Callithrix jacchus: one gene and its partners. The protein of the gene in region 1 purifies or fractionates together with the protein of each later gene. This does not show direct contact. Links are inferred from orthologs where the notes say so. Each region holds a gene or a part of one and is shown in the gene's direction. Other genes may lie near its edges.

Region 1 (4,397 bases):
GAAGGATTGGTTAGTACATGGCCAGTCAAGGTAAAGATGACTGCAATAATCACCAGAAATCTCTGCAGAACTATAGAGGCCTCCCGGGACTAATCCTGAAGAGCTCTGATTGAAGTTTGCTTTCTTTTGCCTATACCAACTCTATCAAGTAGAATTCAGTCCATGACTTGTAGACTTGGAGGTGGAGATGGGGTGGAGAGCAAAAATTCTATTTCTGCAGGTAAAACCAGAGCACAGTGAGCCCAAACCCCTTTCTACCTGGGTGGCATGAATGAGTCCAACTGCTACCGTCCCCCCGGACAATGGAGCAAGGAGGGGCGGGCAGGACCAGACTGCCTTCAGCCTCCCGCAGGATGCCTGGCAACTAGTTTCTTAGTGGTCCTTACGGTCCAAGCGCGGTTTAAGGTACTAACTAAACTCATTCTTCAGTCTCCTTCTCCAAGTGTTCCTGGAGAATTGCTCAGTTTGCACCCAGAAGTAGGCTCAGGATCCATTCTCTGCAGCAGCACAATGTAGGTCAGAGAGCATGAACAAAATCGCTACTTAGGAACACAATAGTTATTTTGTTATTGCAAAGTATCCACAACCACTACTACAAAGATTAGCACCTAGCTTTACTTAGGGGGAAGAAAATCCTGGTCCTATTTAGCAGTTTCCCCCGTACAGGGAGAGTTCACCCCTCCCCCAGTCAACAGAGCTCTTCTTCCATAGGAACTTATTTGAGAGTTCTCCAAGGATTTAGGTTTTCACTCCAAAGCTTTCACAACTTCTATCTGGCGGGGTGTGCGGGGGTGGGGGTGGGGGTGGGGGTGGGGGTGGGGGTGGGGGTGGGGGTGGGGGTGGGGGTGGGGGTGGAGAAGCTAAGCGTCCCGGTGCTGCAAAGAGCCTGGTATTGGTAGAAACACGTCGGCGGCCTGCAGCCTTCTAATCACAGTGCGTCCTTCCCCTTAGAGAGAAGTCTGCGGAAAGCAAATCCCTACACCCAGCCATCATTTCCACTCTTGCGTTTTCAAAAGATCAAAAAACGGAAAAGACCGGCAGGTTGGCAAACCCCAAAGAAGGACTGCCCATCAGGTCGGCGTCCTTGGGATCTCAGCAGCCGACGACCCCAATTCAAAGCGATCGTGGGAAACCCCAGGGAAAAATGGTTAACTTGCAGAGGGACAGGATTACAGGGTGCAGGCTGCAGGGAAGTACCGGGGGCAGGGGGCCTGGTAGGAAGGACTTTCCAGCCACTCGGCGCTCATCAAAAAGTTCCCTGTCCGTGACCCCAGTGCCTCATCGCAGGGAGTTTCTCCGATGAACCCCAGCTCAGGGTTTAGGCTTCTTTTTCCCCCTAGCAGAGGACGAAGCCAGTTCTCTTTTCTGGTCTGACTGGCTTGGAAATTCCCCGCGCCTGACCCCGCCCCAGAGAAATCCCCAGCCAGCGTTTATAAGGGCGTTGGGGCGGCGCTGCAGAGCCCACAGCAGCCCGCGCCGCCGTACCGTTCGCCAGCGCTCCAGCGAGGAAGCAGCGCGCAGCCCGCGGCCCAGCGCACCCGCAGCAGCACCCACAGCTCGCCCGAGCAATGTTCCAGGCAGCCGAGTGGGCCATGGAGGGCCTCCGCGATGGGCTGAAGAAGGAGCGGCTGCTGGACGACCGCCACGACAGCGGCCTGGACTCTATGAAGGACGAGGAGTACGAGCAGATGGTCAAGGAGCTGCGGGAGATCCGCCTAGAGCCGCAGGAGGCGCAGCACGGCGCCGAGCCCTGGAAGCAGCAGCTCACCGAGGACGGGGACTCGTAAGTGGCGCGGGCCAGGGGTCGTTGGGAGGACCGGACGCGCGCAGGCGGGGCTTGGGGGGTGCTGGGCCTGCAGCCCGAGCCCGGGGACCAGCGCTGCAGCCGGGCCAGCACCGCGGCGCCCCGGGGCTCCTGCACGGCGCCGAACGCTGCAGGGCCGCAGGGCCGCGCGGGACTCCGGCTGGACTAGGAGGGGCAGAGGCTCGGCTCTGGTGGACCGCAGCGTCGCCACACGCCCCCTCCCCCCCATCCGTCCTCTAGGCCGGGGGCGGGGCGGCGGTGGGGACGCGAAGTCCCCGGTTGCATAAGGCGGGGCGGGAGTTTCTGGCCGCTGGCGGGCGCCTTGCAGCCGGGAGGGGAAGTACAGGGCGTTCCGAGCCGGCGGGAGGGCGGGGCGGTCTGGCCGGCGCCCGCCGAGGCCTGAAGGAGGGGGGCGGAAAGTCCCTGGGCGCCTGCCAGGAACACTCAGCTCATAATAACCTCGCGGAAAACACCGCGGCCTCGGCCTCCAGAAACCCCGGCCTTGCGCAATCCCCCGCAGCCCGCGCCTCCCTGGGCCCCACGCGGTGCACTCACCACCCCTGGGGGTTTTTCCCTCTTCCCCACAGGTTCCTGCACTTGGCCATCATCCATGAAGAAAAGGCACTTACCATGGAAGTAATCCGCCAGGTGAAGGGAGACGTGGCCTTCCTCAACTTCCAGAACAACCTGCAGCAGGTGCGCACGTGCCTGGCCCGGGCTTTCTTTGACCCTGGGACAGAGCTGATGTAGCAGAGTCACCCCAGATCCTTTCTGAATTAAGGGCCACTGGGCATTATTCACCCCTGCCGTTTACTTCGCATCAGCCCCCATCCTAGAGAGGGAAGGAAATTCTATGGATTTGGTGAGGTCTTTATGACCCACCTGGAGCCTCTGCTATTTGCCAGCCCTCCCCACCCTCCCACCTGGGAGGAGCAGCACCCAACCAGGAGACATTGGGGATCCGGGGAACTCGGGGTGTGGGTTTGATTCATGGCTTACTCTCTCTGGTTTCTCTTGCACTGGTAGACTCCACTACACTTGGCTGTGATCACCAACCAGCCAGAAATTGCTGAGGCACTTCTGGGAGCTGGCTGTGATCCTGAGCTCCGAGACTTTCGAGGAAATACCCCCCTACACCTTGCCTGTGAGCAGGGCTGCCTGGCCAGCGTGGGAGTCCTGACTCAGGCCTGCACCACCCCACACCTCCACTCCATCCTGAAAGCTACCAACTACAATGGTATGTCTGCCTTCCTGCCCTGCCCCACCCCCTCAGAGGGCAGGTGACATGCAGAAAGGGCACGTGGGCCAACTTAGGGAGTCCAGGAAAGAGCTTAAACTCCCAACCTGTGAAAGATCGAGAAAAGATGTGTGCAATATGCCTATTGGATACATTTTAAAAGTCCCTTCAGAACCCAGACTGGGGTTCTTAAAATTCAGAAGACATGACTGTTTGTCCCATAAAAGAATAGGTGAAAGGTGCTGCTTTAGGAGGGTTGAAACAAATGGTTATGCTTTTTTCCTTTTGTTCTTCCAGGCCACACGTGTCTGCACTTAGCTTCTATCCATGGCTACCTGGGCATCGTGGAGCTTTTGGTATCCTTGGGTGCTGATGTCAATGCTCAGGTGAGTGCTTCCTGCCTCCCATGTTCTGAGTCAAGCTCCTCGTGCTTGTGTTGCAAGCAGAAATTCCAAACGCAGCCATAGGCATCTCAAATTCCTTTTGGTTTCAGGAGCCCTGTAATGGCCGGACTGCCCTTCACCTCGCAGTGGACCTGCAGAATCCTGACTTGGTGTCGCTCCTGCTGAAGTGTGGGGCTGATGTCAACAGAGTTACCTACCAGGGCTACTCCCCTTACCAGCTTACCTGGGGTCGCCCAAGCACCCGGATACAGCAGCAGCTGGGCCAGCTGACACTAGAAAACCTTCAGATGCTGCCAGAGAGTGAGGATGAGGAGAGCTATGACACAGAGTCAGAATTCACGGAGGATGAGGTGAGTCTGAACTGCTTCAGTATTCTGTGAAATTAATGGCGGGGGGGCTTTCCCTTCACCCTCCCAGTCCCCTAGAGCTGCTCTTCATTAGAGGAATGTCCATGTAATGAATCTCTCAAATTTCTGTGTATAACCAGTATCCCAAGAATGTGCCTTTTTTTTTTTTTAATAGCGCACTGTTTTTTTTAAAAGAGAAGCATTAAAGGCAAACTCCCTCAACCTGTAAAGTTCACTATATTTGGGCTACGGAGAATGGAGTCCAAGTGTTATTTCCAGTAGCAGCTTCCCCATCCCAATAGCTTGGCAGAGCTCCAGAAGTTTAACGTTCTTTTTTTCCCTTTGTTTTCAGCTCCCCTATGATGACTGTGTGTTTGCAGGCCAGCGTCTGACATTATGAGCACAAAGGGTCTGAAAGAACGTGGACTTGTATATTTGTACAAAAAGAGAGTTTTATTTTTCTTAAAAAAAAAAAAAAAAAAAAAAAATTTAAAGGGTGTACTTATATCCATACTGCACACTGCCTGGCCCAAAACATTTTACTGTGGTGGGATCAGCCCTCGTTTTGTTACTTTCGTGAACTTTTTGTAGGGGACAAGAAAGAT
Region 2 (3,644 bases), on another chromosome or scaffold:
TATTTGGCCTCCTTTATGAATTGAGACTTTTCTCTCATGACCAACAGATGTTTCTTTGAAATGTATATTCATTGGGTGCATGTCATGTGTGTGATTCCATAACTATTTTAGCTTCTTTTCCTCTTCCCTACAGATATACACCTTTAGGTTTTTATCATCATCCTTGTCATATGTCCAGGCCAAGGTGAAATTTCAACATTTAAAACCACAGCATACCCCAGAACTGCATAGATTTGGATCTCTCCATTTCTATACACCTATAGCATTGGGCACCAATATAGCTCTTCTAGCCTTCACCTTTATTATCTGTTTAAATCTATGCAGTAGTGGAGAGAACTCTGAAGGAGGACCTTGGGGACAATACATTCACTCTTTACATATTAGATTAGAATGAGTGATCTTTGTAAGTCCCTTGCTTCCATTGACACACCTGAAGAAAGGGAGTATTCTTATTTCTCAAGGGTTTTGTATGAAGAATAAATAAGTCACAATGATTTCTAAATTGTAACTGGTTATAAAATTGTTCATGATAAAATTATTTTCCTATTATGGTGGCAGTGGTGGTGGTGGTGATGGTGGTGGTGGTGGTGGTGTGTGTATGTGTATGTTTGTGGGGAGTGAGTGTGAGGGCTTGAAAGGACTTGCTATGAGTAGATGTATTAGGATGTAAATGCTTCTTCACTGGAAACCATAATTGTGGCCGTAAGCTCAGCTATTGGGAAACTGATTATTAATGGAAAGAAAAGATAAAAATCTGATTAAAAGGTCTGATCATCTATGGAGGCATAAGGAGGTTCTAGCTTTATATATTCGTTTAGCATTTTATTTCTATATGTGATTCACTCTTCTACATTTTTTCTGATGATAAAAATCTGATTAAAAGGTCTAATCGCGGTGGCTCACGCCTGTAATCTAAGCATTTTGGGAGGCTGAGGCGGGTGGATCACGAGGTCAAGATATCGAGACCATCCTGGTCAACATGGTGAAACCCCGTCTCTACTAAAAATACAAAATAAAAATTAGCTGGGCATGGTGGCGCGTGCCTGTAATCCCAGCTACTCAGGAAGCTGAGGCAAGAGAATTGCCTGAACCCAGGAGGTGGAGGTTGCGGTGAGCCGAGATCGAGCCATTGCACTCAAGCGTGGGTAACAAGAGCGAAACTCCGTCTCAAAAAAAAAAAAAAAAAAAGGGTCTAATCATCTATGGAGGGATAAGAAACTTCTAGCTTTATATATTCGTTTAGCATTTTATATCTGTATGTGATTCACTCTTCTAGGTATAGAGGGTAAATCAATGAACAAAAACAGTACCAGTTCTATGCATGGATTACTTTTTTTTTTTTTTTTGAGACAGAGTTTCACTCTTGTTACCCACGCTTGAGTGCAATGACGCGATCTCGGCTCACCGCAACCTCCGCCTCCTGGGTTCAGGCAATTCTCCTGCCTCAGCCTCCTGAGTAGCTGGGATTACAGGCACGCGCCACCATGCCCAGCTAATTTTTTGTATTTCTAGTGGAGACGGGGTTTCACTATGTTGACCAGAATGGTCTCAATCTCTTGACCTCGTGACCCACCCGCCTTGGCCTCCCAAAGTGCTGGGATTACAGGCTTGAGCCACCGCGCCCGGGCATGGATTACTTTTTAGGAGGAAGAAGTAGACATTTAAATAACAATGTTATATATTACATCTAAAAATAAGAGAAACCAAATGTACAGTGAGTGATATTGCTGGTGGTTTTGCTGTAAGTTATAGCATGTCCTTCTAAGAAGAGGACATGTAAGAGGAGACTGAATTAAATGTAAGAGTGAGTCTTGCTGTTGCTGACATCAGGGGGAGAGTCATTTTATGCAGAGAGAAGAGGAAGGGCAAAAGTGTTGAGGCAGTCATAGATTTGATAGTTTAATTGAGAAGGCGTTTTTGACATGGGGGAAAAGGGCAGAGTAGATAAACCTGAACAGTGTAAGTAAAATAAGTTAGACACCAAAGACCCTATATATTCTGCTTTTATGAATTGGTTAAAAACCCGAAAGATTTTAGTGGTTGCCTGGAGCTTGGAATCAGAATAGGAGTGATGGCATTAGGTTGTGGGGTTTTTTTTCAGGTGATAAAAATTGTTTAAAATTGGGTTACATTAATAGTAATATGGTTCCACAAATTTACCAGAAATTATGAAATTACACTTAAAATGAGCGTGTTTGATGCTATGTAAATACAACTCAGTAGTATTCACTAGTATTAATACTAGTGAATTATGCACATGCTGGGGATACAGTCATGCCATTCAGAGAGAAAAGCATGTGTGCAAGCCCAGGGGCAGGAGTGTGTTTTTTGCATTTAATGTGGAAAATGTGTTTTGGGTTGAGGGACAAAGGGCAGGACAAATGACGGGTTACATGAGGCTTTTGGTAGAAGAGCCTTAGTTTGCTCCAGTAGAAAAAGAGAAAATAACTATAGTTGCTTTGATGGGGTAAAATTTGTCCCAAGACAAAAATTAAGAATAAGGTGTTTGATATTACTACAAAGTCCTTTTAATTCTGTCATTGGTTTATTCTTCATGTCTTTCTTTTCTCCTTTCTCTGTTAAATATTAGTGTTTTCTCCTGTTCTAAATCTTGGTAAAATCAGTATTCTTTCTATTCCCTCTTTTCTTATCCTGTTCTCTTCAACATTCCCAACACTGCAGGAGTTTGTGACCAAGAACTTCGAGGCTCAAGACAGAAAGAAGTCAAGGGAGCAGTGCAATGGAATTTTCAGTAAAGGTAGACATAGGGAAGGAGGTGACCTGCCCCATCTGCTTGGATCTCCTGACAGACCCTCTTAGCATAGATTGTGGCCACAGCTTCTGCCATGCCTGCATCACTGCAAAGAACAAGTCAATGATCATCTCAGGAGGGCAAAGCAGCTGTCCTGTGTGCCAGACCAGATTCCAGCCTAGGAACCTCCGACCTAATCGGCATCTGGCCAACATAGTTCAGAGAGTCAGGGAGGTCAAGATGAGCCCAGAGGAGGGGCAGAAGAGAGATGTCTGTGAGCACCATGGAAAAAAACTCCAGATCTTCTGTAAGGAGGATGGAAAAGTCATTTGTTGGGTTTGTGAACTGTCTCAGGAACACCAAGGTCATCAAACATTCCTCATACAAGAGGTGGTCAAGGAATGTCAGGTAGGTTCCAAGGCAGAAGAAGAGAGAGCAGAGAGCAGAAGATGGGACCTGACATGAAATCTCCACTTTTCTTTTTAATCCTTTTTTATTCCCCTGTCACCATAGAACTGAGAGCCATGTGATCTCTTTCCATATTCTTTGCTTAGTTTCTGAAGCTTGAAGGACGTTGCTGCACATTGTTTCTATTTAAAGATGAATACAAATTTTTAGCAAAGAAATGTTGAATGAATGGAGAATTGCTTTGTAAGATAAGCTGTAAATGGCACTCTGAGCAGAAAGGTGTTTTTGGGAGCATATCTGGTTAGATGTGGGAAGAGTGGCAATGAGAGGAAGCCTTTCCTTACTGCAGGGTCTGCTTTTTCTCTAGGAAAAGAATGAGGCTACTCTTGATAAGGGGTTGGTGACTTTGTTGGAAGTAAATGCTCGGTGTTGCCATGTGAATATAGCACTGAGGCAGTTTTTTCAGAAAGGCAAATTTACTTCT
Region 3 (3,644 bases), on another chromosome or scaffold:
GCTGAGTTAGACCCAACATGGGGTGCCCCTCCAAGTCAGTGGCCCCAGGGCCTCTGGTCACTCCTGCTGCTTGGTCATCACAGATGCCTCGAGGCTGCTCCACTCCAGCAGTGCTCTGTGTGTGGGGCTGCCATCTTTCCCTCTTGCAAGTGTGGTCCTTCGTCGGGGCTTTGGCCTGTGTCTAGAGCAGCCTCCACTCCCAGCATGAACTCAGCTCTCTTCCCAGCAACTACACATCCTCCCACTTACCTGAAGCTTTTGGCCCCATCTCCACCCTGGCTCGAACTTTACCCATCTTCAAGACCCAGCTGAGGCACCACCTCCACGGAGAAATCCTTCTCTGACAGTCCCCACCCCACCCCAGCAGCCTCGCTCTCTGTGAACTTCCCATCTGGCCCTTTCTGCTCATAGGTTGCTGAGAGAAGCAGAGTCCATCTGAGGGGAGGAGGAGCCTGCCCCTCACCGTGGGGATGCTGGCCTGGGCAGGGAGAGGGGCTCAACGTGGCCACACAGCGAGCGAACCTCACAGCCAGACGTGCAACTGGGGCTCTGGCTCCCCGCTCCCTAATGGCATAGCTTGCCTTCCTCACCTCCACTGGGCTCCACACTGGGCTCTGTTGGACATGGTGGCTGAGAGGCCAGCCAGATAGGGGATGGATAGCCAGTGCCCCCCAGCACACCCACCCCTGCAGGGTCTCGCGCATCCCTCGAGGCCACTGAACCGGCTCCCCTGTGTCACTTTTCAGGTTGAGGGAAGGCGCCAACCGTGAGATCCTGGGGATCATTGTTTCCTACAAAGTGAAAGTGAAGCTGGTGGTGTCTCGGGGCGGGTGAGTGCTCTAGCCCAGCCCAAGATCCCTAGTGCAGAGGGGAGCATCCCAGATGCCCACAGTCCCCTGCCCCATTCTGCCTATTTGCTGTCCTTTCAGCTGCATCCACCTTGGAGCAGGACCTCCTGTCCCTTCGCTTCCTCCCTTGTGGTTCCTCTTTCTCCTCCCCTGTCCACTTTCCCTCTCTTCCATCCTTGGCCCTCAGCCCCTCCCTCAGCCCCCACCCATCTCTTTCTCGCTCTCCTTCTCTTCTATCCTGGGTCTGGGCTTGCGCTGAGGATTGGCCATGCCCAGGCGACAGAGTCCTCAGAGTCTATGTTGTGGGGTCCCCCAGAGTGCCATATTCCTCATCACACCTTGGGACATAGCACCCACCCCCATGCATGCCCAAGCTGATTTTCTGAGGAAGCAGCTAAAAGGGCTCAGAACCCACAGCTGGATTGGGGATTTGCTAGCTGGTCAGCTTTCCCATTTTACAGATGGTGAAACAGAGGCCCAAACAGTGCCCCAAACATTGCCTGAAGTCTCCTCCCCTAACTCAGGTCATGGGCTGGGGTCACAGCAGTGGACCAGACTTTCCTGCCATGGAGCGTAATTTGGTGGAAGCTTGGGGAGGAAAAAAAAAAGCAACTACCTTTTCTGTGTGTGCGTAACTTAGTTCATACATTTCTATGAAAAGATTGAAAAGCTGAATCCCATTAGACATTGGGTCTCCTTGGTTATTAGAAGAATGCCTCTTGGCAGGTGGCACTGTGTAATCCTGACCTTATACAATAGGACACCTGAAGATTACAAATCCCAAATGCTGTGTCTGGTGACCTTTCAGGACCCACAGTCTCTCAAACATTCTTGGCAACCCCGGAGTCCTTCCCTCTGCCTTTAGATAGCCCGGCCTCCCTTGGGGTAGTTAGCACCAGGGTTAATTTTCACACTGCCTTCACAGATGAGGATCCTGGGGCTCAGGGGGTTTTTGAGCTGGGTCTAGATCCCAGTCACCCAGGGCAGCGCTAATGCCGTTTCTACATATCCCTGAATGAGCAGTCAGGGCTGTGCCGGGTGGGGCGGGGGCGGGTGGAGTGTGTCCCGTGGGTCTTCTCTATCTGGGGGCAGCAGAAGTGGTGAATGAATGTGCTTTTTGTTTTCTTCCTCTCTGAACTCTCTCCTGACCACTTCTCCTGCCTCCTCTGACCCACCCAGCCTGTTGGGAGATCTTGCATCCAGGTAAATTCCTCCCTTCCACCTGATTCACCCACCTTCCTGGAGGGCCTGGAGCCGATTGGCTTGACTGACCAGAATCACAGGGCACTGGGTTGGAAGGAATCTTGGTGGTCATTTCAGATTGCCAGGTTCAGGTGTGAGCTGGGAGACACTGTTTCTCTTTAACAAACCTCACTTTGCTCTTCCACCCGAGTGACAGGGACCTTTACAGAGAGCAAAGCCCGATTGCATTGATACAGGGAGTGGCCCCCAAGAGGGCTGTTTGAATTACCGATCAATTGAATTATAGGAGCTTTTGGAGAAATGCAGACTTCATGGCTTTCAAACTTCCGAACTAATGAGAATGAGCTGCTGCTGGCTGAGAGTTGCTAAGGAGAGGTCCTCTTTTGTAAACACAGCTTCCTTGCAGCCAGCTTGATGCACTTAGATTCCAAACATGTCTGTACCCTACACACAGCAGTTTGGCCTTCTGTCACAAGATGGCAGTGTGGCTCATCCTAAGAAATCTTAGCCTGATTTGACAGGTGAAATTCGTTTAATTCAATTCAGTGTAATATCATTCAGCAAGGATTTCCTCAACCCAGGCTGGTACCTAGGCTGGTGCTGAGTGCCAAAGTCCCAGAGAGGAATCAGATGTGCCCCCTGCTCTTATCGTTCCTGGCCTGGTAGAAGATTAAGGTCCAGATTCTTTCCCTAATGTTGGCAAACTTGCTCTTCCACCAGCTCCCCAAAGCAAAATGAAAAAAAAGGAAGAAAAAAAGTCCAAATAGTTCTGACAGCCTTATAAAACCCCAGGTTCCCACTGGGGGAAGTAATGATTATGGCAGGCACAAGCTTCACATTTTCATTTTATATTTTTATTCTTTTTGAGACAAGGTCTAATGCTATTGCCCAGGCTGGAGTGCAGTGATACAGACTTGGTTCACTGTGACCTCCTCTGCCTCCTGGGTGGAAGCCATCCCTCCACCTCAGCCTCCTGAGTAGCTGGGACTACAGGTGTGCACTACCATGCCCAGCTAATTTTTGTATTTTTAGTAGAGACGGGGGGTGGGGAGTGGCATCTCACCATGTTGCCCAGGCTGGTCTCTAACTCCTGAGCTCAAGGGATCTGCCCGCTTTGGCCTCCCAAAGTGCTGGGATTATGGGCATGAGCCACTGTGCCCCGCCAAGCTTTACAGTTTAACTAGCATTTAGCTGCCTCACCTCTAGGAAGTTCCAGTGGCTCTAGAAGACAGGTATTGTTATCCCGACTTCGAAGCTGAGCTCAGTGAGACTCAAAGCCAGAAATTGCTGCGCCAGCGAGTGGCAAGGCTGGCAGAGCAGACCCTTCTAGTTGCCTAGCTTGTGCCTCTGACCACTCCGTTCCCTTTCCCTTTCTCCTTCCCAGCTGGGCTCTGGGCAACAAGATCAGTGAGATGTGGCCTGTGCCTGGAGGCACTCACAATTGGGGGGTCTCCTAGGGTGATGCCACGCCAAGCTGAGAGGAGCCTTCGGGGTTGCTTTTGTTAGTCTCAATCCTGCTACTGTCACACAGTGGCCAAGGGTGTGGTTATGGAGCCAGAATCTGCTATCACTTACCGTTAATAGCTGCATAGC

Evidence for each region. The genes of interacting proteins can lie anywhere in the genome.
Region 2: the proteins of NFKBIA (region 1) and TRIM22 purify together in Homo sapiens (affinity purification with western blotting; 3 studies listed by BioGRID). This does not show direct contact. The link is inferred for Callithrix jacchus from reciprocal best matches to the Homo sapiens genes NFKBIA and TRIM22.
Region 3: the proteins of NFKBIA (region 1) and ARRB1 purify together in Homo sapiens (affinity purification with western blotting; 3 studies listed by BioGRID and IntAct, with this or other methods). This does not show direct contact. The link is inferred for Callithrix jacchus from reciprocal best matches to the Homo sapiens genes NFKBIA and ARRB1.

Annotation. Positions count from the first base shown.
Region 1 is NC_133509.1:69,916,230-69,920,626, reverse strand, and holds the start of NFKBIA (NF-kappa-B inhibitor alpha), read left to right. Parts: upstream 1-1,459; 5' UTR 1,460-1,568; coding exon 1,569-1,783; intron 1,784-2,391; coding exon 2,392-2,500; intron 2,501-2,830; coding exon 2,831-3,041; intron 3,042-3,338; coding exon 3,339-3,427; intron 3,428-3,534; coding exon 3,535-3,795; intron 3,796-4,144; coding exon 4,145-4,192; 3' UTR 4,193-4,397. UniProt on the Homo sapiens protein: Inhibits the activity of dimeric NF-kappa-B/REL complexes by trapping REL (RELA/p65 and NFKB1/p50) dimers in the cytoplasm by masking their nuclear localization signals.
Region 2 is NC_133511.1:71,285,844-71,289,487, forward strand, and holds part of TRIM22 (E3 ubiquitin-protein ligase TRIM22), read left to right. Parts: intron 1-2,682; 5' UTR 2,683-2,740; coding exon 2,741-3,160; intron 3,161-3,644. UniProt on the Homo sapiens protein: Interferon-induced E3 ubiquitin ligase that plays important roles in innate and adaptive immunity.
Region 3 is NC_133511.1:65,682,398-65,686,041, forward strand, and holds part of ARRB1 (beta-arrestin-1), read left to right. Parts: intron 1-746; coding exon 747-830; intron 831-2,027; coding exon 2,028-2,051; intron 2,052-3,644. UniProt on the Homo sapiens protein: Functions in regulating agonist-mediated G-protein coupled receptor (GPCR) signaling by mediating both receptor desensitization and resensitization processes.